Linked DNA regions of Callithrix jacchus. The protein of the gene in region 4 binds, or shares a complex with, the protein of the main gene of each other region. Links are inferred from orthologs where the notes say so. Each region holds a gene or a part of one and is shown on either strand. Other genes may lie near its edges.

What was found.
Region 1: SNRPF (region 4) and CWC22 share a complex: the UniProt entries of both Homo sapiens proteins name them as parts of the minor spliceosome. The link is inferred for Callithrix jacchus from reciprocal best matches to the Homo sapiens genes SNRPF and CWC22.
Region 2: SNRPF (region 4) and RBMX2 share a complex: the UniProt entries of both Homo sapiens proteins name them as parts of the minor spliceosome. The link is inferred for Callithrix jacchus from reciprocal best matches to the Homo sapiens genes SNRPF and RBMX2.
Region 3: SNRPF (region 4) and SART1 share a complex: the UniProt entries of both Homo sapiens proteins name them as parts of the U4/U6-U5 tri-snRNP complex. The link is inferred for Callithrix jacchus from reciprocal best matches to the Homo sapiens genes SNRPF and SART1.
Region 5: SNRPF (region 4) and GEMIN4 share a complex: the UniProt entries of both Homo sapiens proteins name them as parts of the SMN-Sm complex. The link is inferred for Callithrix jacchus from reciprocal best matches to the Homo sapiens genes SNRPF and GEMIN4.
Region 6: SNRPF (region 4) and GEMIN5 share a complex: the UniProt entries of both Homo sapiens proteins name them as parts of the SMN-Sm complex. The link is inferred for Callithrix jacchus from reciprocal best matches to the Homo sapiens genes SNRPF and GEMIN5.
Region 7: SNRPF (region 4) and BUD13 share a complex: the UniProt entries of both Homo sapiens proteins name them as parts of the minor spliceosome. The link is inferred for Callithrix jacchus from reciprocal best matches to the Homo sapiens genes SNRPF and BUD13.

Annotation. Positions count from the first base shown.
Region 1 is NC_133507.1:49,008,409-49,012,698, forward strand, and holds the start of CWC22 (pre-mRNA-splicing factor CWC22 homolog), read left to right. Parts: upstream 1-1,442; 5' UTR 1,443-1,653; exon of another isoform or gene 1,654-2,460; intron 2,461-4,290. UniProt on the Homo sapiens protein: Required for pre-mRNA splicing as component of the spliceosome. As a component of the minor spliceosome, involved in the splicing of U12-type introns in pre-mRNAs. Promotes exon-junction complex (EJC) assembly.
Region 2 is NC_133524.1:126,051,265-126,054,896, forward strand, and holds part of RBMX2 (RNA-binding motif protein, X-linked 2), read left to right. Parts: intron 1-2,423; coding exon 2,424-2,553; intron 2,554-3,632. UniProt on the Homo sapiens protein: Involved in pre-mRNA splicing as component of the activated spliceosome. As a component of the minor spliceosome, involved in the splicing of U12-type introns in pre-mRNAs.
Region 3 is NC_133511.1:123,052,755-123,056,386, forward strand, and holds part of SART1 (U4/U6.U5 tri-snRNP-associated protein 1), read left to right. Parts: intron 1-1,768; coding exon 1,769-1,942; intron 1,943-2,036; coding exon 2,037-2,147; intron 2,148-2,410; coding exon 2,411-2,498; intron 2,499-2,978; coding exon 2,979-3,069; intron 3,070-3,632. UniProt on the Homo sapiens protein: Plays a role in mRNA splicing as a component of the U4/U6-U5 tri-snRNP, one of the building blocks of the spliceosome. May also bind to DNA.
Region 4 is NC_133510.1:98,938,995-98,943,222, forward strand, and holds the start of SNRPF (small nuclear ribonucleoprotein F), read left to right. Parts: upstream 1-1,422; 5' UTR 1,423-1,551; coding exon 1,552-1,554; intron 1,555-3,487; coding exon 3,488-3,613; intron 3,614-4,228. UniProt on the Homo sapiens protein: Plays a role in pre-mRNA splicing as a core component of the spliceosomal U1, U2, U4 and U5 small nuclear ribonucleoproteins (snRNPs), the building blocks of the spliceosome.
Region 5 is NC_133506.1:63,629,936-63,634,359, reverse strand, and holds the start of GEMIN4 (gem-associated protein 4), read right to left. Parts: upstream 2,833-4,424; coding exon 2,370-2,832; exon of another isoform or gene 907-2,369; coding exon of another isoform or gene 774-906; exon of another isoform or gene 1-773. Other genes in the region: uncharacterized protein LOC118153659, read left to right, coding at 2,831-3,038, 3,298-3,416; diazepam-binding inhibitor-like 5, read left to right, coding at 3,493-3,756. UniProt on the Homo sapiens protein: The SMN complex catalyzes the assembly of small nuclear ribonucleoproteins (snRNPs), the building blocks of the spliceosome, and thereby plays an important role in the splicing of cellular pre-mRNAs.
Region 6 is NC_133503.1:54,099,140-54,102,771, forward strand, and holds part of GEMIN5 (gem-associated protein 5), read right to left. Parts: coding exon 3,321-3,632; intron 1-3,320. UniProt on the Homo sapiens protein: The SMN complex catalyzes the assembly of small nuclear ribonucleoproteins (snRNPs), the building blocks of the spliceosome, and thereby plays an important role in the splicing of cellular pre-mRNAs.
Region 7 is NC_133511.1:16,412,331-16,416,725, reverse strand, and holds the start of BUD13 (BUD13 homolog), read left to right. Parts: upstream 1-1,497; 5' UTR 1,498-1,520; coding exon 1,521-1,663; intron 1,664-3,919; coding exon 3,920-4,013; intron 4,014-4,244; exon of another isoform or gene 4,245-4,339; intron 4,340-4,395. UniProt on the Homo sapiens protein: Involved in pre-mRNA splicing as component of the activated spliceosome. As a component of the minor spliceosome, involved in the splicing of U12-type introns in pre-mRNAs.

The DNA.
Region 1 (4,290 bases), on a different chromosome or scaffold from region 4:
AGCTTGTGAAGCTAGGAGAGCCAGTCTGAATCTCACAACTGAAGTCCAATGTTTGAGGGTAGGAAGCATCCAGCATGGGAGAAAGATGTATACTGGGAGGCTAGGCCAGTCTCGCCTAGTCTCACCTTTTCATGTTTTACTGCCTGCTTTATATTTGTTGGCAGCTGATTAGATTGTGCCCACTAGATTAAGGCTGGGTCTGTCTTTCCCAGTCCACTGACTCAAATGTTAATCTTCTCTGGCAACACACTCACAGACACACCCAGGATCAATATTTTACATCCTTCAATCCAATCAAGTTGAAATTCAGAATTAACCATCACAGGTAGTATTGTGGATTTTTAAATATATGAATACAAATGTTCATCTCCAGATCCGTCTCCTGTGCTCTGTATTGGTACACCAAAATGCGCCATGAACAATGGCCAAATATCTTAAATATGAAATAAAACAGTTAACACTATTGTATACCAGCAATTATCTTAAATGCATTATGTGAATCAACTAATTCAATTCTAAAAACTACTTAATGGGTGGGTAATATTAGTATTTCCATTTAACAAATCAGGTAATGGGCACAGAATGTGAAGTTATTTGCCCCAGTGATCCATAAATAATCAAAGAACTCATGACTCAAACATATGTGGTCCAACTGCAGTGTTTTTATTCTTAATCATCACACTCTGCCTCCAGAAAGGAGCGGAAGCACAGCACTCTAAAATTGTAATAGAGAAGTGTGTGGAAAAACCAGGCCTGGTTTATGAAAGGTTTGAAAATATAAAGATATTCTTGTTTGAGGAAGAGAGTTTCCAAAAGAGCAAGTAGTTGAAGTTTTAGGTTTTGTTACTAGCGAAAAGTGAAGTTTAAAGAAACAGTTTGTTCAATGCCCAAGTTCTGCACTCTGTACAAACTGCTTCCCACTCAGCCAGGCAGTCTCCTTACTCTCAGCTCATACCAGTTGGTACCTTAACCTAAAAGAGAGGCAACGTCTTCTCTACAGAATTAGTTTTTCCTCATTATTTACTCTATGTATGATGTAATATTCTCCCATTCTCTTGGTCTGGACGTCTTGGAATTTATTAGGCACTTAATATTTGGTAACATTTTTGCTTATTAGGCTCTTGGTCAAACTCTATTATAAAGTCTCAGGAAAATCTCTTAATATTTTCACGGAAAAGTGACAACTGACTGCTTTAAAAAAAATGTCCCCTAAATGCAGAGAAATAGTTTTAGATTAAAGTAAATTCGGCTAGACTCTAAACACTATTAGGCTGCCAGTGAGCACCTTGGATGTTACTCGTAGGCGCCCAACTGTATGAACTACAATTCCCATCTTACACCGCGCCATTCCATGCTAAACTACAATTCCGCTTTCGTCATTTCCGTCAACTTAGGCGCTGGATTTCGGACTTTGTAGGTCATGTCAACTTCTCTTTTTTGTCGCCATTTTGATAAGAAGACAGTGTGCCTGGGTCGACCACTTTGACTCTGGTATTATGATATGCTATTTGAAATAAATTAAAAGGATAACGTGTCAAGCCGATTGAGCCTCAAGTTTTTATGTATTTCACTATCCGCATTCTTCCTACTGTCGGTGGTCGGGAAAAGGAAGTGACGTACGTCCGGTGTAATGGCGGCGCGGTGGAGCTCTAGGTAATTATCTGAAGTCGGTGGAGTCCCCGCAGGCAGCGAACCGGAGAGGGGGTGGCGGGTCGCTGGATCGGGTGGGAAGTGAAAGAGGCCCAGGAGTGGGTGCGGGCTCACTGGTACAGCTGTGAGCATCATTGGAGTGCGCGTGGCTCTCTTTCCGCCGGGCACTGGCCCGCGAGGGGGGTGTGAGAGCGGCTGGGGCCGAGGAGTCCGAGCCGGTGGTGAGGGAATGGGCTGTGTTAACTCACTCACTGCCTGCGCAGACCGGCCGACCTTCCTTGTGAGGTTCTTGGAGCTATCTGAAGTCCTGCACCAATCCTGGTGCTGTTGTTTCGTGTACAGTGTGTTTTGTACTTAGAGCCTCTGGAGTCAGTTGGGCTTGGGAAAGCCCCTTTACTAGTGCCCAGATCCCCGCGCCAAGGGAGTGGGATTAATGAGCTGTAGTTGATTAAAAGTTGAAGTGCTTGCACTCTTATGTCTTTTCCGGCCTTAAATCCTTTTGACTATTTGTGTGAAATTTCATTAGTGGTTTCTTCTTCATTTATTTGTCCTGTAAATACTGATAAGTTCTAGCGTTTAGTCTCGAAGACGCTTCATTTCTCCTGTGTTCTCTTCATCTATCTGTCATACTTTATCCAGCTCTAGTGAGGTAGTAACTGCCAAACTTGGCTTTCCAGGCTCCACCTCTCTAACGAGCCTTGGGTCCTACAGTGCAGCATTATGTAATGGAAATATAATAGTTAATTTCACTGAGTTTAACTGCAGAAACCGCGGTACCTGTTTCTACTTAATCTTCACAATTCTTTTGAGGTAAGTGGAGAAGGCAGGATTTGGAGAAAGGCTATTTTAGATGCAAGAATTCGCTAAGCGTTTTTTTTGCATTTTTAAGTGTGCAGAGACTCCAAATAGATAAACAAGCAAACTTTGTCCTCAGCAGATCAGTTAACCTAACTCTTACCTGTATTTAGGATTGCTTGGAAATTCAAGTTAACATAAATTATCCTACTATGGAAGGGCAGATTGAAAATTTGCATTCAAAGTGTGGTTTTGACCAGGATAAGCATTGTAACAGGCAGTATCAGTAGGAGGAGGAAACTCACTTGTGTTGGGCCTGATAGACCAAATATTTCAATTTTATTCAGCAATTATTAGGTCTGTCACATGAAGCAAGTTATCTAAGGTCTTTAGTGTCAGCTTCATCATCTGAAAACAATCCAATGAGGCAGGTATTGTGTTATTACCTCATCTGCCTCATTGGATTGTCTTTTTTGGAGTTTAAAGAAAACTAATGCTGATGAGGCACTCAGCACAGTGCCGGATACACTGTGTTCGCTTTATATTATTGTAAATTACTACGATGATATAGTTGATGAGTTCTCTCTGTGCCTCTATTCTTGTTCTCTGGTTCTGAATGTTGCCTTTCCACCTTAAATGTCCTTCCAGTTTTAAGTGTCCATGTCACTTTTATGGAGTCTTTCCCAACTCAGTTGACTGCGGCTCTGAGACTGTCTTGGTTATAAGTTAAAGGCCAAGAACTTTGATCTAATATCCTGGTCTCGTGCTTCCAAAAATGTGTTCTGAATCAGCAGCATCATCTCCTTGAAGCTTGTTAGCAATGCAAATTACTGGGCTTCACCCCAGTTCTGTTGAATCAGAAACGTGGAAATGGAGGCCCAACGATTTTATTTTTGTTTGTTTGTTTTTCCAAAGCATTTCAGTGATTCTCATGCCAGTTAGTTTGAGAACTTGTGATTTAGCCCATCCTTTAGGGACATACTATGGTTAGTCCTTCCCCTGCCCTCAGAATCAGGTTTGATGCCCTCCTTGCTCCAAAGTATTTGATCCGTGGCCAGCTAGTATTTATTATTATGCTTTGGATAGGTTATCTTCACTCACTTTTTGAAGTTCTGACACTTCCTAGACTACTTAATTGTTTTTTGTAAGCCAGCTTTCTTAGCTCTGTTAGCTTTCCCAGCTGCTGAATTTTTAGAAGTTAACACTCCTGGTGGGGCGCGATGACTCACACCTGTATTCCCAGCACTTTGGGAGGCTGAGGAGGGTGGATCACTTGAGGTCAGAAGTTAGAGACCAGCCTGGTCAACATGGTGAAACCCCATCTCCACTAAAAATACAAAAAGTATTAGCTTGTAGCCCCAGTTACTAGGCAGGCTGAGGCACAAGAATCACTCGAACCCTGGAGGCAGAGGTTGCAGTGAGCTGACATCACTCCACTGCCCTGTAGCTTAGAGGACAAAATGAGACTTTGTCTCAAGAAAAAAAAAAGAAGTTAGCTTTCCTTCCCAGTGCTCGTACATTGTTGAGCGACCTACAGTGGCTTGTACCTGAGACCACCCAAAAGACAACACAGTGACACATTTTATATTTCATATGCCCATGCCTTAACTTGAATAATATTTTCAATTTATTGTCCACCTGTATTTAGATGGAATTTTGTACTACCTGTCATATCCCTGACTTGGTCATCATTTGTTCATGGTACCTGGAGCTAGTTCAAGAAAGTAGTGGCTATTGGTAATACATCTGATCCCACTGATAACTTTGAAGGCTTCCTTGTTGAATTTCCCTGCTTTTCTGTTTATCCGAACATGGGAAGATGGTAGAACAATTAAGCCACAGAGC
Region 2 (3,632 bases), on a different chromosome or scaffold from region 4:
TGAGTCTCTTTCTTAGCTTTTATTCTATTGGTCTATTAATTTTCCAATACCACACTAGTAATTTCAGTCTGTCTGATATCTGATAAGAGTTACTCCCCCTCATTGTTCTCATTAAGAGTTTTCCCAGCTATTTTTACATGTTCTTTTTTCCATAAGAATTTTAGAATTAACTTATTCAGCTTTCAGGAAAGAAACCAAACTGGTATTGTTATTGGAATTATATTAAATTTACATTAACTCGGGAGAAGATTTTGATACCTTATGATAGTGAGTCATCCTGTCCAAGAACAAGGGATACCTTCATATTTGTTCAAATCTATGTTTGTGACTTTTGGGAATTTTAAAATAGTTTTCTTTATATGGGCTTTGTACATTTTTTGTTGATAAGTATATTTCTAAGTACTTTGTCTTTTTTTGCTATGATAAATACGATTTCCCTTTTATCATTTCTTCTGATTATTGTTTCTGTATAACAGAGTGATTGATTTTTAACTTTATATCTTGTTGCTTTACTGAATTGTTACGCTCTGTTTTTAATCATTGTTTATCATGGATTCTCTGGGTTTTCCATGTATACTATCATATGTAATCTACAAAAGGATAATTTTACTTCCTTTTTTTCATTTCTTATATCTGTTTTACCTAATTGCATTGGCCTATACCTTCATTTTAGTATTAAATAGTTTCTAAACTTACTTGAATCAGCTCTAGTATTTCTCATTAAGTAGATTGCTAGATTTTGGGCTGAAGTGTATGTATGTGATTATGTAACATACCTGTCAATTCCCGTTTTATTTTTATGACTTTATTTTTAAATTTATAAACCTCTAACTTATCTGGAATTTATCTTGCTGCAAGGAGTAAGGTAGTCTTTTATTCCTAATGTTTTTTCTTTTTTGAGACAGAGTCCCACTCTCTCGCTCAGGTCACAGTGTAGTGGCATGATCCTAGCTCACTGCAGCCTTGAACTCCTGGGCTCAAGTGATTCTCCCCATTCACCCTCCTGAGTGGCTGGGACTACAAGTGAACACTACCATGCCTGGCTAATTAAAAAACTTATTATTTTGTAGAAACAGGGGTCTTGCTGTATTGTCCAGCTTGTCTCAAACTCCTGGCATCAAGTGATCCTCTGGCCTTGGCCTCCCTAAGTGCTGGTATTACATGTGTGAGCCACTATGCCTGATCTTTTTTTGTTTGCTTGTTTTTTTTGGAAATAGGATCTTGTTCTGTTGCCCAGTCTGTCTTGAACTACTGGCCTCAAACAATACTCCTGCCTCCCAAAGTGCTGGTATTACATATTATAGGTGTGAGCCACCATGCCTGGCCTTTTTTTTTTCTATTTAATTCTGCCTTTTTATCTATTTGGTTTTTTTTTTTTTTTAGAGACAGGGTCTTGTTCTGTTGCTCAGGCTGGTCTCAAATTGCTGGCCTCAAACAATCCTCCCATCTTGGTCTCCCAAAGTTCTGGGATTACAGGCATGAGCCACCATGCCTAGCCAAATTTCTGCCTTTATCTTTATTAGCTCCCATCTGCTTTCATTAGGGTTGCTTTCTTCCTTTATATTCATCCTTTTTGTTCACAATAAAATTATTTTAAAGTTACAAATTTTCCTATGATGTTAGGTACATTTCATAAGTTTTGGTATATATTCTTCTCATTTTTGCTATTTTCTAAATAGTCTGCCATTTTAAAAAAAATATTTTGCTTCATCTTCTCTTTCATCCAGTTATTAAGAGAGTAGCTTTCAAGTTCTAGTTAGGTAAGGTGTTTTTTATTTAAAATATCATTTCCAGCTTTAGGTCTGTCTGTTTTTTGGAGTATAATTATTGAGGTTTACATTGAGACCTAATCCATAGTCTATTTTAGTACAATCTTCATGAATTCTTGAAACTGTCATCTTGTAGGATTCAAAGATATCTATGTATCTAATTACATTAATATTTGTTTGTATAATTGTTATAGTAATTATGTATATTAATTAATCTGATCTTATTTCTGTCCACTTTGTGCATGATAAACTTCAAAGTGATTTGTTAAATTCTTCCATAACTTTTGCTATTAGTTTTTCTTTGCATTTCTGATAGCTTTTTTAATTAAAAATTTTGATTTCTTAATTGACCTAAAGTTTTCCTGACTTATACCTTTGTTTTGTATTTAGGCCTTTTTCAGTGTAAAATAATCTTCTTAGTTTCATTTTTTATTGTGGCCTTGAATTAGCCTTTGCTCTTGATATTAGTGCCTGTTTTTTAATTGGGTACTCCTGTTCTTGTCTGACTTTTTCTTTGTCATGACCTTTCTGTATCATCTCGTTCTAGATGTATCTCTTGTACATACTGTATTATTTGAATTTTGTTTTATTACCTTATCTGCATGTTTTTGCCTTTTAAGTCAATAGTGTCTTACTCTTTTATAAAATAAATAGATATGGGGAGATTGTTAACATTAATCTCGTGCGGGACAAGAAGACTGGGAAGTCCAAAGGATTTTGTTTTCTCTGCTATGAAGACCAGAGGAGCACAATTCTGGCCGTTGACAATTTTAATGGGATCAAGGTGAGTGTACTTACTAAGCAGGTTGGTTGGACATTTTTTCCCCTTGTATAGGGGTTTCGTTTTCTACCTGGTTGCCATGGACACCGGGGCAGCACTCGTCAGCTTGGTGTGTTGCAGGGGCTGCAGAGGTGTGGAGACACTGGTCAAAAAGAGATTCCAGGAAATAATTCTGTTGACTTGTGGCCCTGCAGGACTTGCTTCTTTTTCCCATCTGTTAACAAATTGTCTCCCCAGGAGCATAGGTACCAGGCCTGCCTCCCCTCCAGGCCTCTGTTTTTTACCTTTCTTTTTCTTTTTTTTTTTTTTTTTTGAGACGAAGTTTCTCTCTTGTTACCCAGGCTGGAGTGCAATGGCGCGATCTCGGCTCACCACAACCTCCGCCTCCTGGGTTCAGGCAATTCTCCTGCCTCAGCCTCTGGAGTAGCTGAGATTACAGGCACGCACCACCATGCCCAGCTAATTTTTTGTGTTTTTAGTAGAGACAGGGCTTCACCAATTTGGGCAGGCTGGTCTTGAACTCCTGACCTCAAGTGATCCACCCTCCTCGGCCTCCCAAAGTGCCACTGAACCTGATCAGAGGGGTTAATTTTTTATTGTTGTTCACCTGTAGAGTTGTGATTCATAGCGCAATAATCAGTGTGAGCCTACTGTTCCAGTGTGGTGTGGCTAGAGCAAGGTGTGAGGGCTTAAGAAAAAAGAAAGTTTCCTTTTCTCTATTCCTTCCTCTCGCCAAACTGTTGGTCTGGCTTTGCCTCCTAATGACTGTGTCGGGAAAGCAGTTGTAGCATTAAGCTAGATATCAAGAATTCCTTCTAGTTGCCAGACCTTCCTAGGGCATGTTTCACTGTAAACTTATGTTACAGATCAAGGGTAGTTAATTGTGCATCTAAATCTCACAGTCTTCCCTGATGCTTGTGCTTTGAGGTAGTAGTGTTTCCTAGTCTTTTTCATTTTGTGGACCATGTAGAACAGGAAGATATTTATATGATGCCCTGGGGTAAAGTGATGAGGCTGCTGGTACAATTGCCCAGGCCTCACCTGGCTGCCCTGAGAGCTGAGTGTATTAATATTTAGGTGTA
Region 3 (3,632 bases), on a different chromosome or scaffold from region 4:
TTGCAGTGAGCCGAGATCGCGCCATTGCACTCTAGCCTGGGTAACAAGAGCGAAACTCCGTCTCAAAAAAAAAGAAAAAAAGCATATCAGCTGGGTGTGGTGGCTCAGGTCTGTAATCCCAGCACTTTGGCAGGCTGAGGCGGGCGGATCACTTGAAGTCAGGGGTTCGAGACCAGCCTGGGCAACATGGTGAATTCCTGTCTCTACTAAAAACACAAAAACTAGCTGGGCGTTGTGGCGTGCACCTGTAGTCCCAGCTACTCAGGAGGCTGAGGCAGGAGAATCCCTTCAACCCAGGAGGCAGAGGTTGCAGTGAGCCAAGATCACACCATTGTGTTCCAGCATGGGTGACAGTGAGACTATCTCAAAAAATAAATAAATATCTGGGTCAACAGAACAAAATCTCATGTAGAAAAAAAAAGAGAACATAAATAAATAAATTAATAGCATCTGCTGAGTTAGATATACCCCCTTTTCTGTTTACGATGAAGTTCATTAAAAAATAAGTGTTCCAGGATGTCCTGGAATATATATGTATTTTTGAGACAGGGTCTTGCTCTGTTGCCCGGCTGGAGTGCAGTGGCAAGATCACGGCCTACCACAGCCTGACCTCCAGGCTTAAGGGATCCTCCCACTCCAGCCTCCCAAGTAGCTGAGACTGCAGGCATACACCACCATGCCTGGTTGATGTTTATAGTTTTTGTAGAGATGGGGTTTCACCTTACTGTCTAGGCTGGTCTTGAACTTCTGGGCTCAAGTGATCCTCCAGCCTTGGCTTCCTAAAGTGCTAGGATTATAGATGTGAGCCACTGCAGCTGGCCCCTGGAAGAATTTTTTTTTTTGAGACAGGGTTTCACTCTGTTGCCCACACTTTGAGTGCAGTGCTATGATCTTGGCTCACTGCAGTCTCGATCTCCCAGACTCAAGCAGTCCTCCCACCTCAGCCTCCCAAGTAGCTGGGACTATAAGCTAATTTTTATATTTTTTTGTAGAGATGGGATTTGGGCATGTTGCCCAGGCTGGTCTCAAACTCCCGAACTCAGACAATCCACTCGCCTCAGGAGATTTTTTTAAAATGAAAGAGGGTGCAGAAGTGGACATGGCAATCGAGGCTTCACTGAGGAGTTTGCTGTCAGGGCTTCGGGGTTGAGGGAGGAGTTTTTTAAAGAGGAGAGCTAGTGGGCAAGTGTGTGTGTGGCCGGGCATCTACAAAAGGAGGGAAAGCAGAGGGTGCTGGTGCCCATGTGGGGGTCCTGGATTTAGTGCTGGTAGCACGAGTGGGTTCTCTTAGCATGTCATGGCACCTGCTTTCTTGGTGAAGTGGGAAGCAAGAAGCTGGGCTGTGGGAAGTCAAAAGAGTGGGCCACCTCACCGCCCTGTGGGTTCTAGAAGTGCTGCCTACAGAGTCTTGAAACTGGAGTTTGTTGTGGGAGGGGCTGGTGGCAGGAGGGACCCTGGAGGAAGGTGCTTGAGGCTGAGGTAGTGTGCCAGGGGCTTTGGAGCAGGGTTGGCACAGGCCTGGTCAGGAAGGCCCTGTAGGGTGTTGGGTGTTCATTCAAAGGGCAGCCAAACCCATTGATGGGAGCAGAAGAGTGACCCCAGTGAAATAGGTGTAGAGTGGAGTCAGGAGGCAGAGATCAGCCAGGACCCACATGGGCTGTGGGTGTGGCCTGTCTTGCTGCTGCCAGGGAGGACCCTTGGGTTCCTGGGTCTCAATGGCATCACCCCAGAAACTGCTGGGTTTGCCCACAGCTACTCCCTCCCCCAGGTGGTGGAGATTGTGAAGAAGCTGGAGTCTCGCCAGCGGGGCTGGGAGGAGGATGAGGATCCTGAGCGAAAGGGGGCCATTGTGTTCAACGCCACATCTGAGTTCTGCCGCACCTTGGGGGAGATCCCCACCTACGGGCTGGCCGGCAACCGCGAGGAGCAGGAGGAGCTCATGGTGCGTCTGGGGCAGCCCCACCCTGGGCTTCGCTTGGCTGGGTAGGCTGGCTGGGGGCTGGGGGCTGGGCTGACCCTGGTCTTTTGTGCCCCAGGACTTTGAACAGGACGAAGAGCGCTCGGCCAACGGCGGCTCTGAATCTGATGGGGAGGAGAACATTGGCTGGAGTACGGTGAACCTGGACGAGGAGAAGCAGCAGCAGGATGTGAGGGCCGCACTGTCACCACGGGGTGGGGGGCGGGGGCATGGGGGCGGGAGGGTCGAGCTGGAGATGAGTGCCCAGGCACGTTACTCGGTGTCCTCAGCCTCCTCATCACAGTGCGCTCTGCATTCCTCCCAGCGTGATCTGAGTATACCTGAGGAAATGAAGTTAAACGCTGTGGCTGGTGCCCGGCAGGGGGTGACTGATGGGTGGGGGTGAGAAGAGGCGGTGTGGCTTGCTAACCAACCCTGCCACGTGCCCCCCAGTTCTCTGCTTCCTCCACCACCATCCTGGACGAGGAGCCGATCGTGAATAGGGGGCTGGCAGCTGCCCTGCTCCTGTGTCAGAACAAAGGTAGGGAACTCAGGGCAGCTGTGGCTTGGGTGGACTTGGGCACTTGGGCAGGAAAAGGGCTTGTGGGGGCTTCGGTGCAGCAGGTGCAGGCAGGGTTGCCTCCGTCCCCTCTGTTGCCTCTTTCATTCCCTATGCTGGAGCCAGCTGCCCGGCCCAGAGCCGCTCCTTCTCCCCCTGGCATCTGTCTCTGCCTTACGAGGCTCCATATCTGCTCCAGGAAGGAGAGGGGAGTTGAAACTGTTACAGCTGTAGCAGAGAAGCCCTGATGTTAGGACCCCAGCTCTGCCATTTCCTTGGCCAGTGGCCCGTGGCAAGGGGCTCATTTCTGCATCTTTGCTTTAGAATTGGCCTGATGGCTTTCCAGAGGCAAGGAGAGGGAGGTGCACCCCACAGGGCCCATTTCACTTTCTCAGGAGGCCCTGGAGCGGCGCCTCTCACAGGGTTGGGCAGCCTGGAGTCTCACAACCCCTCCATCCCTAGGGCTACTGGAGACCACAGTGCAGAAGGTGGCCCGAGTGAAGGCCCCCAACAAGTCTCTGCCCTCAGCCGTGTACTGCATCGAGGATAAGATGTGAGTGTGCAGGGCTGGGGTCCTCACATCGAGGATAAGATGTGAGTGTGCAGGGCTGGGGTCCTCACATCGAGGATAAGATGTGAGTGTGCAGGGCTGGGGTCCTCACATCGAGGGTAAGATGTGAGTGTGCAGGGCTGGGGTCCTCACATCGAGGGTAAGATGTGAGTGTGCAGGGCTGGGGTCCTCACATCGAGGGTAAGATGTGAGTGTGCAGGGCTGGGGTCCTCACATCGAGGGTAAGATGTGAGTGTGCAGGGCTGGGGTCCTCACATCGAGGGTAAGATGTGAGTGTGCAGGGCTGGGGTCCTCACATCGAGGATAAGATGTGAGTGTGCAGGGCTGGGGTCCTCACATCGAGGATAAGATGTGAGTGTGCAGGGCTGGGGTCCTCACATCGAGGGTAAGATGTGAGTGTGCAGGGCTGGGGTCCTCACATCGAGGGTAAGATGTGAGTGTGCAGGGCTGGGGTCCTCACATCGAGGGTAAGATGTGAGTGTGCAGGGCTGGGGTCCTCACATCGAGGGTAAGATGTGAGTGTGCAGGGCTGGGGTCCTCACATC
Region 4 (4,228 bases):
ACTGCTTAAAACCGGCGATAGAGGCAAGTTCGAATGCAGTCCCTCTCCAAAGTCTTACCCACTGCTCCACAATGCCTCAATACCAAACATTTCACACTCAATTCCAAATCCATCTCTTCAGGGCTGCAAAAAAGCCTCACTTCCCAAAGGGCGAGTTCTCCAAACACTGCATTTAGCATTTCGGATCCGGGTGAGTTGAACTCACTAGGATTACGAGAAAAACTAGTGAAATTCAGATACGACCATTAACATCGAAAGTTTTAATCCGTGAAATACTGCTTACGCCCTTAAGTAATTTCAAATGCACATAAGATGGCCATGCGGGTCTCTGCTGGAGATGCAAAAGAAAGGTGAGCAAACTTAATCAATTATGGCTTTCAGATTTTAGTTAATGGAGGAAATAGCAAGTTTCCACTTGTCATAATTACAGGCATCACTATCATTCTATCATTATTCTAGCACTAATGAAAGACCTCAAGAACATATAAAGCAGCAGTAAAGGGTGCTAAGAAATGACAGTGTGGTCACGTCAACTTGCCCCATGTTACATCCAGGGTGTCAGGGTTCAAACCAGGTCTGTCTGGCTCTAGAACAATTGTTCTCTGCTACCTCCAAATCCTGTGTATATGTTTTCACTAAACTATTTTGTTGTTTATAGATCTGAATTGGAAGCTGTTGAGTACCCTGAACTTAGCAACTAACTGATATAAAGGTATCCCTTATAGAAATCTCAAACTAATTCTTCATTCCTTTCAGGAAGAAGAGTCTTAAGAATATGCATTATAAAACATGTTTCAATAAAGTTATTGAAAAAGAAAAAGAAAGGTGGGAAGTTGGCGGGGGGGCATAACACTGTATACTAGACGCAACCTGACATCGTTTGAAAGAAATTCTGTCCCCTACTCCCTTCGGTGAGATTCGCCGTCCCTAATCTAGTCTGGCTACCCCACACTCCCGATTCCTTTAAAAGGGGTTGAAATGGATGTTGCATTAAAGAAAACCCTCCTGCAGAAAGGACCTGAGGCAGAGACTCCCCTGAATTCTGGAACATGTTGGAAGAGTGAGAAAGGAACTCTGGGACTCCGAACTTATTCTCACGGGTGTAAAAGGACAGAGTAAATCCCCATTAGCCAAGCTGGGGAGAAGTCACATCCGCACATTCTAAAGGGCACACAGCCTCTCCCGGACCGTCCCTAGAAGAGGGGCAGCACATTTAGAAACACTGGCGGGCCTCTAGTCCTTGGCTGCCTCGCGGCGACCCTCAGAGCGGGTTTCCCAAGGCTCAAGCTCCTCTGGCAAGGCGCAAATCGACACCACTGCTGGTTGCTAGGAGATACTGCCCCGCCACCTCCTCCAATCAGCACGCATCTCTTTGCGTCCAATCACAAAGGCCAGAAGGGCCGTGGTGGGAGGTGAAAGGTCATACTCTTGTTTGGCGGCCATTTCTCTTGAAGCTCGGCGGTTCGGGACTTCGGGATCGGCTGGAGTCACGAGGGACGAGCGGCGGCCTGGTTGGCAGCGAATAGCCTGCAGCATTCGCCCGTGGTTACGATGGTAAGGAGAAAGAGAACCGGGGGAGAAGCGGGGAGAAAGAGGAGGGAAACCAGTCTCGCGGGGCCTGATGGTTGCTTCGCGCGTTTCTCATTCATCCGCGTGAGGCGCCGCGCACCCGGTCGCCAGCTCCTTTCACGCTGCCCTTGGGGTTTCTGAGGCGCGTGCTCCTCCCGTTGCCTTTCTGTTTCTAGGAGTGCCCGTGCTGTCTCCTCTTTGTTTGAATCCGAGCCTGGGGTATTTTTGGTTGGGGCTTCAGGGTCGGCGTAAAACTGAAAGAGAGTGCACTTCTCACTTCTCTCCAAAATTCACTTTAATTCCTTGAAAGTAATATTACAGCCATGCTCTAGATTAACTCAGTCGGGTGGGGAAGACAGACCTTAGTCAAAAACCAACAAATATGCAATTGCAAATAACAAGTGCTAAGAAGCATGTAGACCGGAGGCTGTGAGGGTGCACGTTAGACATTACAGGCTTAGTCAGAGATGGCCTCCCTAGGAGGTGGAATTTAACCAGAGACCTAAGTGTCCTGAAATACCACCCTTTAAAGAGCAGGAGGAGTGTACCGAGCACAGGGAATAGGAGCGTAAGACCTGCAGCCGGAAAGAAAGCTTGGTCAGTTGGAGAAATTGACAGAAAGGTACAGCCACTTGCAAGAATGGTGGCTTCTAATTCAATTAGAAGCCATTGAATCATTTTAAGCAGACATATGACATAATTTTATGTGCACTTTGAAAAATAACAGTTGCCGTGGTGGATAATAAATTGGAGAATGTAAACTGGAGATCCATTAGGTTATTGGAGTAGCACCATGCCAAGATCACTCCCAATATGCTTATCTTAGTTTAGTAGCCAAGTTTCTTAGTTCTGTTTTTTCTTTGACTGGTGAGTGAGCAGATTAGGGCCCAAAAAAGTCTGAATTCACTGGAGATGCTAATGGTTTGTTGAATAAACAAACATTAAGTGATTGCTGTAAAGTCAGATAGGACCTAGCCCTACCTTCCACAGTTAAAGACTGTCAAGTGTGATCTGCCCTCTGCTTCCTTCTGCAGTCTTATATTAGGGGCTTTGACTGACAATGCTGAATTCTTTGTATATCCCCAAAATCATGTTGTTCTCTTCCCTCCTTTTACTTAAGTTGCTACCCTTGCCTGGAGCAGCATCTGCCCCCCCCCCGGAAATAAACTCTTATCCTTTAAAACTGAGATATTACTTAAGGCAACCTTTCCTTTTCTGTGGATTGCTGTGGTACCCTTGTGCCTAGCATATCTCCTCTTACTACATTGCAGTATGCAATATAATTATTTGTATGTGAGGAGCTCCCCTCCCTATCTCCAGCTTCTTGACAGGGACTGTTACTTGTTTATTTATTTTTAAGAGACAAAGTGTTGCTCTTGCCCAGGCTGGAGTGCAGTGGCTTGATCATAGCTCACTGCAGCCTTGAACTCCTGGGTTCAAGCAGTTCCCCCACCTTATCCTCCCTAGTAGCTGGGACTACAAGTGTGTACCATCACACCTAATTATTTTTGGTAGGAATTGGGGGGGGTCTCCCTATGTTGCCTGGGTTGGTCTTGAACTCCTGGCTTCAGGTGATTTCCGTGCCTTGGCCTTCCAGAGTGCTGGAATTACAGACACGTGCCTGGCCAGCATTTTTTTTTTTTTAGTGGCTTTATCTTTGCTTCTTTCAAGCTCAGAACAGTGAGTGATGTAGGTAGTCAGTGTTATCTTAAGTGAATAGTGAGTATTTTGTTTTGATGGGTTAAAGGTGAAACTGGCTAACTGGATATTTAAATTTCCCTGGTACTCATCTTCAACAAATAAAAGTGAAAATTATGTTTTCTTCATTTGCACACCAGAAAATATTGGTGATTTGGTAGAAGGGATTTGGTGGTGGGAGGAAAAGAATTAATTGGATCCTTTTTTGTTCTTTGTGCAGAGTTTACCCCTTAATCCCAAACCTTTCCTCAATGGACTAACAGGAAAGCCAGTGATGGTGAAACTTAAGTGGGGGATGGAGTACAAGGGCTACCTGGTATCTGTAGATGGCTACATGAACATGCAGGTAAGCTGTAAAGGTTATAACATGGCATTGATTTTGCTTCACCTTATTCCTCAAAGGTTTAGTCTGACTAATAAGAATACATACAATTAAGTTGACAAATATATGGCAAAATTCAAAAATAAAGTCAAGGCCAGAGAGGATACCGTGATGTACTAGGTACAAGACATGGGCTTAAACCGGAATTCAGCCACAGATTTTATTCCTAGGAGTTAAAGTAAGAAGAGCTCAGACGTTCAATTCATAATAATACCATAAGGGAAACACGCTACTTTGCTGGAGAAAACAAAACTTTTACCATCATTTAGCCCTGAAAGAAAGTTTTCAAGTGAAATTTTTGAGTCTTTTAATGAATGCTAAAGGTACAACACCAAGCTATTAAAGAAATTCATTCCTTCAAGGGAAAGACAGATCTGCCAAAGGAATTGAACTGACTGTATGTCAGTTTCTGTAAATGATTTAGCCATGTGTTTTGGTAGGGTTTTTTGTAATTTTCTTTTTATTGTGGTCAAACATACATTAAAATTTTACCATTCTAACCATTTTTAAATGTGTAATTCAGTGGCATTAAGTATCTTCACACTGTTCTGCAACCATCACCACTATCCATTTCCAGAA
Region 5 (4,424 bases), on a different chromosome or scaffold from region 4:
AATCGGAACAGGTTTGAGAAGAGACAAGCTTGATTTTGGCTATCAAGGCACAGATGTTCTCCAGCAGTGGAAATGCCCCATGCAAGTTGAAGAGAAAAGCCAGCTGGGAAATGTGATTCTGGATTTTGGCTATCGAGGAGATGTCCTTCAGCAGTTGCAATGCCGGGTGGAAGTTCAGGGGGTAAGTCAGCTGGGAAATGTGACTCTGAGAGGCATGTGCCCAGAAGGGGATCACCGGAACCAAGAGAGAATGAGATCCCTCAGGAAAAGTAAAAAGAACAAGCTGGGCTGCTGAGGGCAAACCCTTCAGCAAAGGATGGGCCAGAGGAGGATGTGGGGAGAGAGGTTCAGAAATAGCACGAGGACAGTACAAACGACAGAGCTATTGAGCATGTACCACAGGACATGACAGCTGAGTTTCTCATGACAGATGAAGGGGGAAGAGTGATAATCACACAGCCACAGGGTAATGAGGACAGCCACAATCATGCAGCCACAGAGTAACAGCACAGCAGCAATCACACAGCCACAGGGTAATGGGCACAGCTGCAATCACACATTCACAGGGTAATGGGCACAGCCACAGAGTGACGGCACAACAGCAATCACAGCCACAGGGTAATGGGCATAGCAGCCATCACACAGACACAGGGTAACGGCACAGCAGCCATCACACAGCCATAGCGTAATGAGCACTGAAGCAATCACATGGCCACAGGTAATGGGCACAGAAGCAATCAGACAAGCCCTGCCTTCGCCCTTCATAACCTTGCCTTGGGAGCAGGCTTCAAACATTGTTCTACCTTTCAGGGAAACAGTCCACCCCACAGCTCCTTCCAAAGACAAGCTACTCATGGCCCAGGCTCTGTGGGAGAAACCAGGGAGTAGATACAGAAAATACTTCATTAAATTAAGTCCTTCCTGCAGAGAAGGAATAACTGACAGACTTACATCTTGGGATGTTTAATCAAACATAGGTTTGATTCCTAGATCAGCCATTTAAAAGTAATGTGATTCTGGCCAGGGGTGCAGTGGCTAGCACTTCTAATCCCAGCTACTTGGGGGGCTGAGGCAGGTGGATCCCTGAGGTCAGGAGTTCAAAACTAGCTAAGGTAACATAGTGAGACCCCCCCAGACCCCTAAAAAAAGGGGGGTGGGTAAGGGATGTGATCATGGTCAGATTGCTTCTCCAAGCCTTCCTTCTGCAGCTTTGGGGATAATACAGACTTCTTGTTACGACTCTGAGGATTATATGATGCATACCAGTCAAGCCCCTGGTAGTGGGTTAGTACTGCTATCTCCTGACCCCATCTCCTGGAGACGCTGTGATGGATAAATGTGATACAGCTACACTAAGAATCAGGTTACAGAGCCTGATCAGGGCTCAGTCAATGTTGGTTTCCCCAAACCTTCTCATCATTGGCAGGATCAAAACCCTGTCACTGTTCTTTGCCTGCCCCAGCTCAGAAACATCAAAGGACATAGGTTTTTATCAGGTATGTTTCCTTTGGCCCAGGAAGTAAAACGAGGGTACAAGCATTGCTCACTTTTCCTCACTTCTGAGTCCTCTCCTTTTCCCAGGATCGGGACAATGCTCACCATTCCTCACTCCCTAGTCTTCTCCCTTTCCCAGGATAGACACTGCTCACTATTCCCCACTCCTGAGTCCTCTCCCTTTTCTAGGACCAAGAGATGCTTCTTCCTCAGTCTCTCATGCCCCTGAGAGCTCAGTCTCCATTTTACAGGCCAGACATCAGCAGAGATAACACGGATTCCAGGAGACTAAGGACTGTCTTGCCCTTGCCACCATGTGTGGGAGCAGCCACAGGCCCAGCGCTCAGCACTCCCATGTAACCCATTTGCGGAGAAAATCCACCTCAGCTCACAGTGGCTGAGGCCGAGGCTGCAGAGGGATCTCGCTAGGGTTACCGTCAGGAGGCTCGCCCAAACCCCAAAATGCGGCCCCCCCTAGCGCTGCAAATTTAATTTTACTGCGTTATCAGCTTCTTTGGGCCAATGTCTGGCCATCCACGCGCGCCTTCCAAACGCAGGCAGTCCGCCGCATTTGCAGCAGTAGCGCCAGGGCAGTGACGGCTGGAAAACCCGCCGGCGCTCGGTCAGGAACGGCGCCCAGCGCGCGCCAGAGCCAAGAGCTAGGGCTACCGGGTGGTTCCGCGCTCACCGCGCCAGCCCCGCGCCGGGTCACATGCGAGACCTCACGCATCACGACCACCTTGACAACGCCGTTCCCGCTCAAGGCCCGAACACGAAGCTGCAGAAACGCTTTTCTCAGGGTGCCCGGACGCCATTCCGCTCCCGAGAGCTGGTGCCGAAGCGCCGCGGCCCCAGCTCTCCGGACGCCCGCCCACCTGCTCCGTGTTCCGGGCCTGGCCCCGACCACTCCGGTTCCGAGGCGCGCAGCCGCCCCGGCAACTCTGCGCGGGACCTGGACGCCCGCGGCCTCCGTGGAGAGTCGCGCAGCCCTCGGGGGCAGACGCACCGTCCCCCTCCCGCTCCGCCGAGACGAAGCCGGACGACAGGAGACACGCGCCTTTCAGGAGCGCGGCAGTCCGGGCGCTGAAGGAGCCGCGCTTCCATAGCACGTGCGCCGGCCCAGAGGGTTCCACCCTCACTCCGCGGCGCGACTCCCGAGGCCGGGCCCGGGTCCCCAGCCAAAGCCACCCGGAACCCCAGACCCGCCCCGACGCGGAGGACGTTCCGCCTGGGCCCATCAGTGCGCGCAGCGGGAGGAGACGCGCCAGGGAGCACCGCCCTGCTGACGCGTGGAGGGACGCAGCCCGGGCAGGGAGCGCGGCACCCACCTAGGTCCATGGTAGCGACGCGGGCGGTTGCGCGGGGTTGGCTCTCCCTCTCAGAGAACGCGGGCGCGGCGACGAACGCACGGCACAATGGGCGGCGCAGGCGCCACGGCGGCCGTGCTCAGTCCCCGCCCATAGCCCCCCGCGCAAGCGCAGTCCTCACGGAGGAGCGCGCAGAGCCACAGCACCGCCTCCTCGCAGAGGCCTCCCGTCCGTCAGGTATCGGGCGTTGCTCCCGGGCCTGCCTCCGGGTCCCAGTGCGTCCGGCTTGAGCCCCGGCTCCGCATTCACCCTCATCCGGTGACCCCGGGCGCGTCCCGCACACTGTCCGCCCCCACCCAGCGCGGCCTCCCCACGCGCGGCTTCCTCCCGCCCAGCTCGTCCTACGCTCGCACTCTGTGCGCGCCGCTGCCGCGCCGCCCCCTTGGGACGGCCGCGTTTGGGACCGGAGGCGCTTCTCACGTCTGCTCCTCCACAGAAACATCGTGGACAGACCCAGACACTGGCTCCCGGGCCTGCAGTCGCGGAGAAGAAAATACAGACTCTGCGTGTTCTTCCACGCGCCGCCCGTCCCCTGCCCCCGAGTTGGAGGTCTGACGCCGGCCTTTTTACCTCCCCACCTCCGGCCTCCAGCACCCGGATCGCCCGGAAAGGCCCGGCCGCCTCCCGCCCCATGTGCCAAGTGGAGTTCGAGCTGGCGCGCACCGCCCTCAAGCAGCTGAAGGGCCCCCTGAGCGACCAGGACAAGCTGCTGCTCTACGGCTGGTACAAGCAGGCCACCCGGGGCGACTGCCACCTCCCCGCGCCTCCCGCCTCTGACCTGAAAGCCAAGGCCAAGTGGGAGGCGTGGACTGCGAACCAAGGGCTGTCCAGGATGGACGCCATGAGGGCCTACGTGGCCAAAGTGGAGGAGCTGACCAGGAAGGAGGCTGGCTGAGGGCTCCTCGGAATGGAGTGGCTCCCTAGACCTTGATGGCTGAAATGGAGAGTAACCGGGTTAGCTGAAACACCAATAAATCACTGACACTGCACGAGAGTGACTGACTGCTGTGGAAAAAGAAACTCGTTGACTGGGTGCTGGGGAGGCGTCCAAATACACAGACCGCAAAAACGGTGTGGCTTTGGGTGGCGTTCCCAGCCTTCCTATTGCTAGAGCGTACTGGGAGGGATGGTGTGCCGTGGAAATGCCCACGATCTGAGGTCAGCGAGACCCTTCTCCACTGATGGCCTCTGGGGAGGCTGAGGCCCAGCCCCTTACCTCTTCAAGAGTGATTAATGAACACCCAACACTACAGAGGGGAAAGGGACTCTGTCCTAAACACCGAAACCCCCACTGGAACACAGGGCCTAGGAAGTTTATGTTCTAGGTAGACCACACTTTCCCCGATGATAATGTGGTGAGGCAACTGAGACTTCAGAAAACAGCAGCTGAGAAACAACAGAGCCGATGGTGTCAAAATCCCAGGCCCAGAAAGGGTCACCGAAGGCCTTGCAACCGAAGTGTTGCAGGACTACTCTGTACTTAACCCTGGTTTCTGCTTAGGGGATGTCTGTGGGATTTCCTGCAAGAGCACAACACACCCCATGCCAGTATCTGGGCCCACT
Region 6 (3,632 bases), on a different chromosome or scaffold from region 4:
TAGTGTACAGTGGCACAATCTCAGCTCACTGTAACCTCTGCCTACTGGGTTCAAGTGATTCTCCTGCCTCAGCCTCCTGAGTAGCTGGGATTATGGGTGCCTGCCACCATGCCCACCTAATTTTTGTATTTTCAGTAGAGATGGGGTTTCACCATATTGGTCAGGCTGGTCTCGAACTCCTGACCTTGTGATCTGCCTGCCTTGGCCTCCCAAAATGCTGGGAATACAGGCGTGAGCCACCGGATTTTGAGTACCTCATATAAGTGGAATCATACAGTGTATGTCTTTTTGTGACTGGCGTATTTCACTCAGCATAATGTCCTTCCTTTGTAAGGCTGAATGACATTCCATCTGCCACATTTTGCTTAGCTGTTCATCTGTCAGTGGATACTTAGGTTGCTGCCATATTTTGGGTATTATGAGTAATGCTGCTATGAACATTGGCATGCACATATTTCACAATGTATTTCAGACCCTGCTTTCAATTCTTTTGGGTGTATACCCAGATGTGGAAGTGCTGGATCCTGTGGTAATTCTATCTTAAATTTTTTGAGGAACTGTTGCCAGACGGTTTTCCACAGTGGCTGCATCAGTTTGCATTCCCAGCAACAGGGCACAGGGTTCCACTTTCTCTGCATCCTCCTCAGCACTTGTCTGTTTCTTTGATAGCCTAATGGCTATGAAGTGCTATTTCACTGTAGTTTTGATTTGCATTCCCCTAATGATCAGATGTTGAGCATCATTTTCTGTGCTTACTGGCTTTTCAGAGAAATGTCTATTCAAGTTCTTTGCCCATCCTTTAATTAGGTTATCTTTTATTATACTTTTGTCTTTTATTAAAAAATTTTTTTAAATTTAAACTTTTGCCCGTGACACAGCCCTCAGGAGGTCCTGAGAACATGTGCCCCTGCCTGGGTAACTTTTATCTCATTTTATAAATAAAATTCCCTTGTCACCTGGGTTTTTAAAAATGCAATTTTTTGTGTGTGTGTGGAGACAGGGTCTTACTGTCAACAGGCTGGTGTGAGTGGCACGAACAAATCTCACTACAGCCTTGAACTCCTGGGCTCAAGTGATCCTCCCATCTCAGCCTCCTGAGTAGCTGGGACTACAAATGCATACCACCACACCCGGCTAATTTTAAAAAATTAATTTTTCTAGAGATAGGGTCTCAATATGTTGCCTAGGATGAACTTGAGCTCCTGGTCTCAAGTGATCCTCCTGCCTCAGCCTCCTAAGTAGCTAGGAATACAGGTGTGAGCCACCATGCCTTGCTCTGCCATCTGGCTCTGTATCTCTCATCTTTAAATACAGAAACCAACTGGGCATGGTGGGTCATGCCTGTAATCCCAGCACTTTGGGAGGCTGAGGTGGAAGGATCATTTTGAGGCCAAGAGTTCAAGACTAGCTTGGGCAACATAGTAAGACACCCATCTCTAGAAAAAAATTTTAATAAACTTAGCTGGGTGTGGTGGCACAAGCTACTTGGGAGGTTGAGGTGAGAGGATTGCTTGAGCCTAGGAATTTTAACGCTGCAGTGAGCTATGGTTATGCCACTGTACTCCAGCTTGGATGACAGGGTAAGACCTGTCTTAAAAAAAAAAAAAAAAAGGCACACCTAAAAGCTGCCTAGGGTATAGAGTAGCTTACTATACAAGTGACTCAAATCTGACTCATGGATTTCAATGGGAGTACTTTTGGAGGGACTTCAAAGCTTCTTAGTTTAATTTTTTTAAAGTTAGTAGTAACAGCTATAAGTTTATTGATTATACTAGTTACTATGTTCTACACCCTGTGCTAAGGAATATAATCAAAATGCATTCAGCATAATAGCCAAGTAATAAGCGCCTGTACTCCCACCTGGCAGAGCAGTTATTTGAACCTGGGAAGCAGAGGTTGCAGTGAGCTGAGATTGTGCCACTGCACTCCAGCCTGGGTGACAGAGCAAGACTCCATTACAAAACAAAACAACACAACACAACACAAAACAAAACAAAAATTGTTACTCACTACAAACCTCAGCAAAGTACCCGGTAAGAAAGCAAATTCAGCTCTATAGTGACTGGTGACTGGATCCTTCCACCTGGCCTCTACTTTCTTTTCTTTTTTTTTTTTTTGAGACAGAGTCTTGTTCTGTCGCCCAGGTTGGAGTGCAGTGCTGTGAGCCTGGCTCACTGCAGCTTCTGCCTCCAATGGAAGTGATTAGGAAGTGACAGGATTCCGATTATTTGGGACTTTTCTCAGTTCAACGTGAAGTTTTACATACTACCCTTTGTGTGTTTTGTTATAGTATAGGACCACTGAAAAACAGTGTTTTTCAATAATGATGCAGTAATGCAACTTCACATTTTACATGATTGATTTTTTGGGGGGAATCTACTTAGCACACAATGGTAAGATTTTATTGTACTATTAATACTAACAATATATATAATTTGTTTCATTCTCAAAACCACCAAAGGTAGGAGCTGGTATCCCCATTTGTAGATGAGGAAACTAAAGCTCAGAGACATTAAGAAACTTGCCTGAGTTCACTTAACTGGGTAAGGGTTAGAATTCACATCTGACCCCCAAAGCCTGCGTCTTAGTTATTACATTTTGCTGCTTTCAAGTGACTTGATCAGTAGCACCATGTACTAATTCTGACCTAAATACATGAGAATCCAACAGGGTTATTTTCCTTTTTTAAATTTTTTTTGGAGACAGGGACTTGCTCTGTCACCCAGGATGTAGTACAGATATGCAACCATAGCTCACTGTTGTAGACTTGACCTCCTGGGCTCAAGTGATCCTTCTGTCTTAGCCTCCTAAGTGGCTGGGACTACAGGGTATGTTCCACCACACCTGGCTTTTTTTTTTTTTAGATGCTTTCTTGCTCTGTTCTCTGGGCTGCATTGGTATGATCTTGGCTCACTGCAACCTCTGCTGCCCAGGTTCAAGTGATTCTCTGACCTCAGCCTCCCAAGTAGCTGGGATTATAGGCCTGTGCCACCACACCCAGCCAATGTTTGTATTTTTAGTAGAGACAGGGTTTCACCATGTTGGCCAGGTTGGTCTTGAACTCCTGACTTCAAGTAATACACCCACCTCGGCCTCCCAAAGTGCTGCGATTACAGGCATGATCCACTTGCACTTGGCCTTTTTTTTTTTTTTTTTGTAGAGACAGGGTCTTGCTTTGTTGCCCAGGCTGGCCATGAACTCCACGGCCAAGTGATCCTCCTGCTTCAGCCTCCCAAAGTGCTGGGATTACAGGCGTGAGCCCCTGTTCCTAGGCAGCAGGGTTATTTTTCATTCTGTCTTGTACTTGCCTCAGTACTTACCACTGGCTCTGAGAACTGGAGAGAGGCTCTGCTTCTAGGTCCGGTTCACTCTTATCAGGACCATTTGCTGTGGATTTACAGAGTTGACTCTTCTGGTGTTGGCGGATCATTTCTGCCAAGGTCTCTTGGACTTCAGCAACAGTTCTCTGTGAGTTTTGGAGACTGGCATGCTTTTCTGAAAGGAGCGCCTTAAATGTGCTCAGTATTCGCTCACCTTCTTTTGTGAGTCTCAAGTCTAGTTCTGAAGGCCTGCTTGGCTCTGGCTGAGAAGTTTCAGGGTCAGTTTCTTCAGTGCTGATAGTGTCTAACTGC
Region 7 (4,395 bases), on a different chromosome or scaffold from region 4:
CTAAAACTTCTCTCTCAAATGGTACAAATATCCAGTTTAAAGGCAAGTTCCTGGGATCTAATGTACAACATGCTGACTGTACTAATCATTCCTATTGTTTATTTGAAATTTGCTAAGGCAGATTTGCTTAAGTGCCCCCCCCAAGTAGTACATAAGTAAGTCTAGTAAAGGATGTTTTAATTAATTCGATTTTGGTAATCATTACACAATGTGTACGTATACCCAATCATCACACCGTACACTTTGAATACATAGAATTTTTATTTGACAAATAACCTCATAAGGCTGGGGAAAAACGATAAAAAAGTGACAAAAATCTAACATGATGAGGTAAAAAGATGTTATATTTCAAGAAATTTGGATGGCCTCTTGCACCCCACTTTGCTAGCCTCTACTCCCGAGTCATGTTCTGGCCATGTGAAGTTGAACAGCTTCCTTAATCCTGCCAACTTTCAGTCCCTATTTGTAAAATATGGCAATGAAACAATTTGAGAATTGTGAGGATTAAATAAGTTAATTTAATTTGCTCTTAACCTCCTGCAAAGAAGAAAGTCTTTTCTTTCCTCCCAAAACTGGAGTGTTAGAATTCATTCTCTCTGGTTTCTTTCTTTTGCTATGCTGAAAATATATTCAGGTCCTTTTCACTGGCAATATTTTATCAATGCTATGTATTTTCTAATGTTGTATTACAAGTTCCCCTCCCCGTTATCTCTTGAAGTAAATATATTTTTCAAGAGATAACTGGGGGGGTCGGTTGTATTACAAGTTAACAAGTTTACAGAGGTCTTAGAAACCACGTTTTTCATAGTAATTGTGTTGGTTTGCACTTCCTGGCTTCCTTTCTCGAACAGCAGGTATCTGGAAGCCTAGTGGAGCAGATTCTTCCCACTTGAAGATACGTATAAAAATAGCGAGACCTGCCTGGGCGACATATCGAGACCCCGTTCTCCACAAAAAAAGGGGAAAAAAATAACGAACATAGTTCCGATGACCATGTGCCCAAACGCTCTGCGCACTGCACACAGTAGTGTCATCTCAGCCTGTGACCATTCCGAGTTAGGTGCCGGGATTCTCCCCGTTTTGCGATAACTCGCCCGAGGTCGCACAGCTAGCTGGCTATGTATGGAACCAGTATTCAAGTTCCGCTACGCTGCAGCCCGTGGCTCTCCACTTTCTTGCCCTTGCTGTGGAGCTTAGGCAGACGCTGGGGGCGGGGTCTTGTTGGGTCAGGTTGTGGCCTCCTGGCCAGAACAGCGCCTGTGGCGGTTGGATGGATGGATGGGTGGGTGGGTGGATGAAGAGAAGATGCCTGGTGGCGTCGTCCCAGGGCGCCCGAAGCTGTGCACATCTCCGGCTAGTCTGCGAGCGCGCCCCCGGCGGCTGCACCTGCCAGCCGCGTCATTCTCAGCACGCTCCGCCACTTCCGGCCTTGGCCCCACTTCCTCAGGTGGCTGGCGCGCGCTACGCGTTGAGGCATTTTGTCCCCAGCGCCGAGCCGTCTCTCCGCCCCCGCCGCTGCCATGGCGGCAGCTCCGCCGCTTTCCAAGGCCGAGTATCTGAAGCGTTATTTGTCCGGGGCAGATGCCGGCGTCGACCGGGGGCCTGAGTCCGGCCGCAAGCGCCGCAAAAAGCGGCCGAAGCCTGGTGGGGCCGGCGGCAAGGGGTGAGTTGGTACCGGCCGGGGCGGGGCCTGCGACGACTCGCCCCCCTCTCACCCTTCCCAACTCCACCCTCGGCCGCCGGGCCTTGCCTTCCCTCCTGGCGGGTCTCTTGGCTGCTGCGCCGGCCCCTGCTCAGACCCAGGGCCCCACTCGCACCGCGTGAGGCCCCCGCCTTGCCTCTGCCGCCCCGCTTACACCTCGAGCCTCTGATCATTAGCGTCAGTGCATTAAAGCCGGGCTGTAACTTTGATGACTCTTTTCCCGCCTTGGTAGACTTTCGTCCTCTCTCCCGTAGGGAATGAGTATTGTGCCCCGAGAATAATGGAGCGGATTCAAAGCCTGTGCTTGGATCTTTAGGGCCCGGCACCTGCCTGTGGGGGTTCCCAAATCCCAAGGACTTGGTTCTGAATCAGAGACCTTCGATCACCTCCTGTTACTCTTAGTAATAGTCCTGCTAACAAGAGCAGCTGACATTTGTGTCGTTCTTCTCATTATGCTTTCCTTGCCAGGCAACATTATAAGAAATTTAAACATATATGAGTTTATTTAAGCCTCACGACAGTACCATGAAGTGGGTATTACTTTCAAATGGGAAAACATTGTGGCCCTCTGTAGTGGGACCTACCAAATCGTTTCCACCCAGAACCACAGAATGTGACATTTAAAATTAGGGCCTTTGGAGATGTCATCAATAAGATGAGGCCATACTTGATTAAGGTGGGTGCCCAATCCAAGATGACTGTTTTCCTTTTAAGAAGAGGGAAGTGTGGACACAGACACAGCAACAAAGAAAAAAACGAGCATGTCTAGATGAAAGCTGAGATTGAATTGGATTTATGCTGCCAAAAGCCAAGATATACCTGGGGCTACCAGAAGCTGGAACAGGAGAGATTCTCCCCTAGAGACTTTCCAGGGAGATTGGCCTTGCAGACCCCTGGATTTCAGACTGCTAGCTTCCAGAACTGTGAGAGTTTCTGTTGTTTTATGCCACCCAATTTGTGGTACTTTGTTAAGCAACCCTAAGGCACTAAGATACCCAGCGAAGTCACATTGTTCCAAAGAACTAGCCCATTTTCTTCTGTCTTCTGTCTTTCTGCGTCGCTGGCTCGTGTGGATCCTTTAGGGGCAGTGCCGTGTGATGAAAGTAGCTTGAGCCTTGGAGCAGCACTGATGAGAGTTCAAATCCTAGCGGTGCCACTTTGTAGGCTGTGTGCCCTTGGGCAAGGTGTTTCATCTCACTGAGCTGCAGTTTCCTTATCTTTAAAATGAGAATAATACTGAATAGTAATGCTTATATTAGGTGGTGGTGGTTGTGATTAGCGGGATTGCATTCAGTGACCTTGGCTTTTTGAATGACTTCACGTCATGGCAGTCGTTGCTATTATTTGGGCTTAACTATAGTTTATCCCTGTACCAAACATTTATAGCATACTTCCTCTTCCAGTTACTGTAGGGTGTTGAGGATGCCTCTGAACAAATAAGATATAGGCCCTGTTCTTGTAGGCTTATAGTTAAATGGGAATACAGGCATTAAGTAATAACACAAGTAATTAATATATTTCCTTTAGGATAAACACAATGAAAGTATTCCAAGAGTTTTTAACGAGGGTTCTTAGTCTTGAGTTAGTGTGGGCTGGGGAGGTTAGGGGGAGGAAGGAGTCAAGAAAGGTTTGCCAAAGGAAGTTAAATTTGCGTTAGGAACTGAATTATGAGAAAGAGTTTCCTACCACTTTGGGAGGCCAAGACGGGTAGATTGCTTGCATCTGGGAGTTTGAGACCAGTCTGGGCAACATGGTGAAACCCTGTTTCTACAAAAAATACAAAGAAGTAGTCAGGCATGGTGGCACGTGCCTGTAGTCCCAGGTACTTGGAAGACTGAGTGGGGAGAATAACTTGAGCCCGGGAAGTCAAGGCTGCAGTGAGCTGTGATCATGCCCCTGCGCTCCAGCCTGGGCAACAGTGTGAGACCCTGTCTCAAGAAAGAAAAAGATTGAGAAGAGTAGATCAGGCAGAGGGAAGGAACTGCATATGTGAAAACTGATGTGGTAGGAACTTGGCTCCTTTCTAGGCACCAAAGGATGACCCAGGGAGGTGTTCAACCAAGGAAATAGTGGTACGAGATGAAATTCACCCATGTAGACAAAGACTGGACCATGCAGGATCCTGTAGGATTTTGAACTTTATTTTAAAACCAGTAGACGAGTGGTTTTAGGCTGATATCCTACAATGACTTTGATCATCTTCTTCTTCTCATTTAGAATGCGGATTGTGGATGATGATGTGAGCTGGACAGCTATCTCCACAACTAAACCAGAAAAGGAGGAAGAGGAAGATGATGGAGATTTGCCTGTGGTATGTGTCTTTGGGGCTGTCAGGATTTTGAAATGAAGCAAGGTTCTCTTTTTTTTTTTTTTGAGATGGAGTCTTGCTTTGTTGCCCAGGCTTGAGTGCAATGGAGTGATCTTGGCTCACTGCAATCTCTGCCTCCTGGGTTCAAGCAATTTTCCTGCCTCAGCTTCCCCATTAGCTGGGATTACAGGCACCCGCCATCGTGCCTAATTATTTTTTTTTGTATATTTGTAGGGACGGAGTTTCACCATGTTGTCCAGGCTGGTCTTGAACTCCTGACCTCAAATGATCCACCTGCCTTGGCCTCCCAAAGTGCTGGGATTACAGTCGTGAGTCACTGCGCCTGGCCAAGCTTCTCAATTTCTTTTCCCAGCTCAGGGTAAAT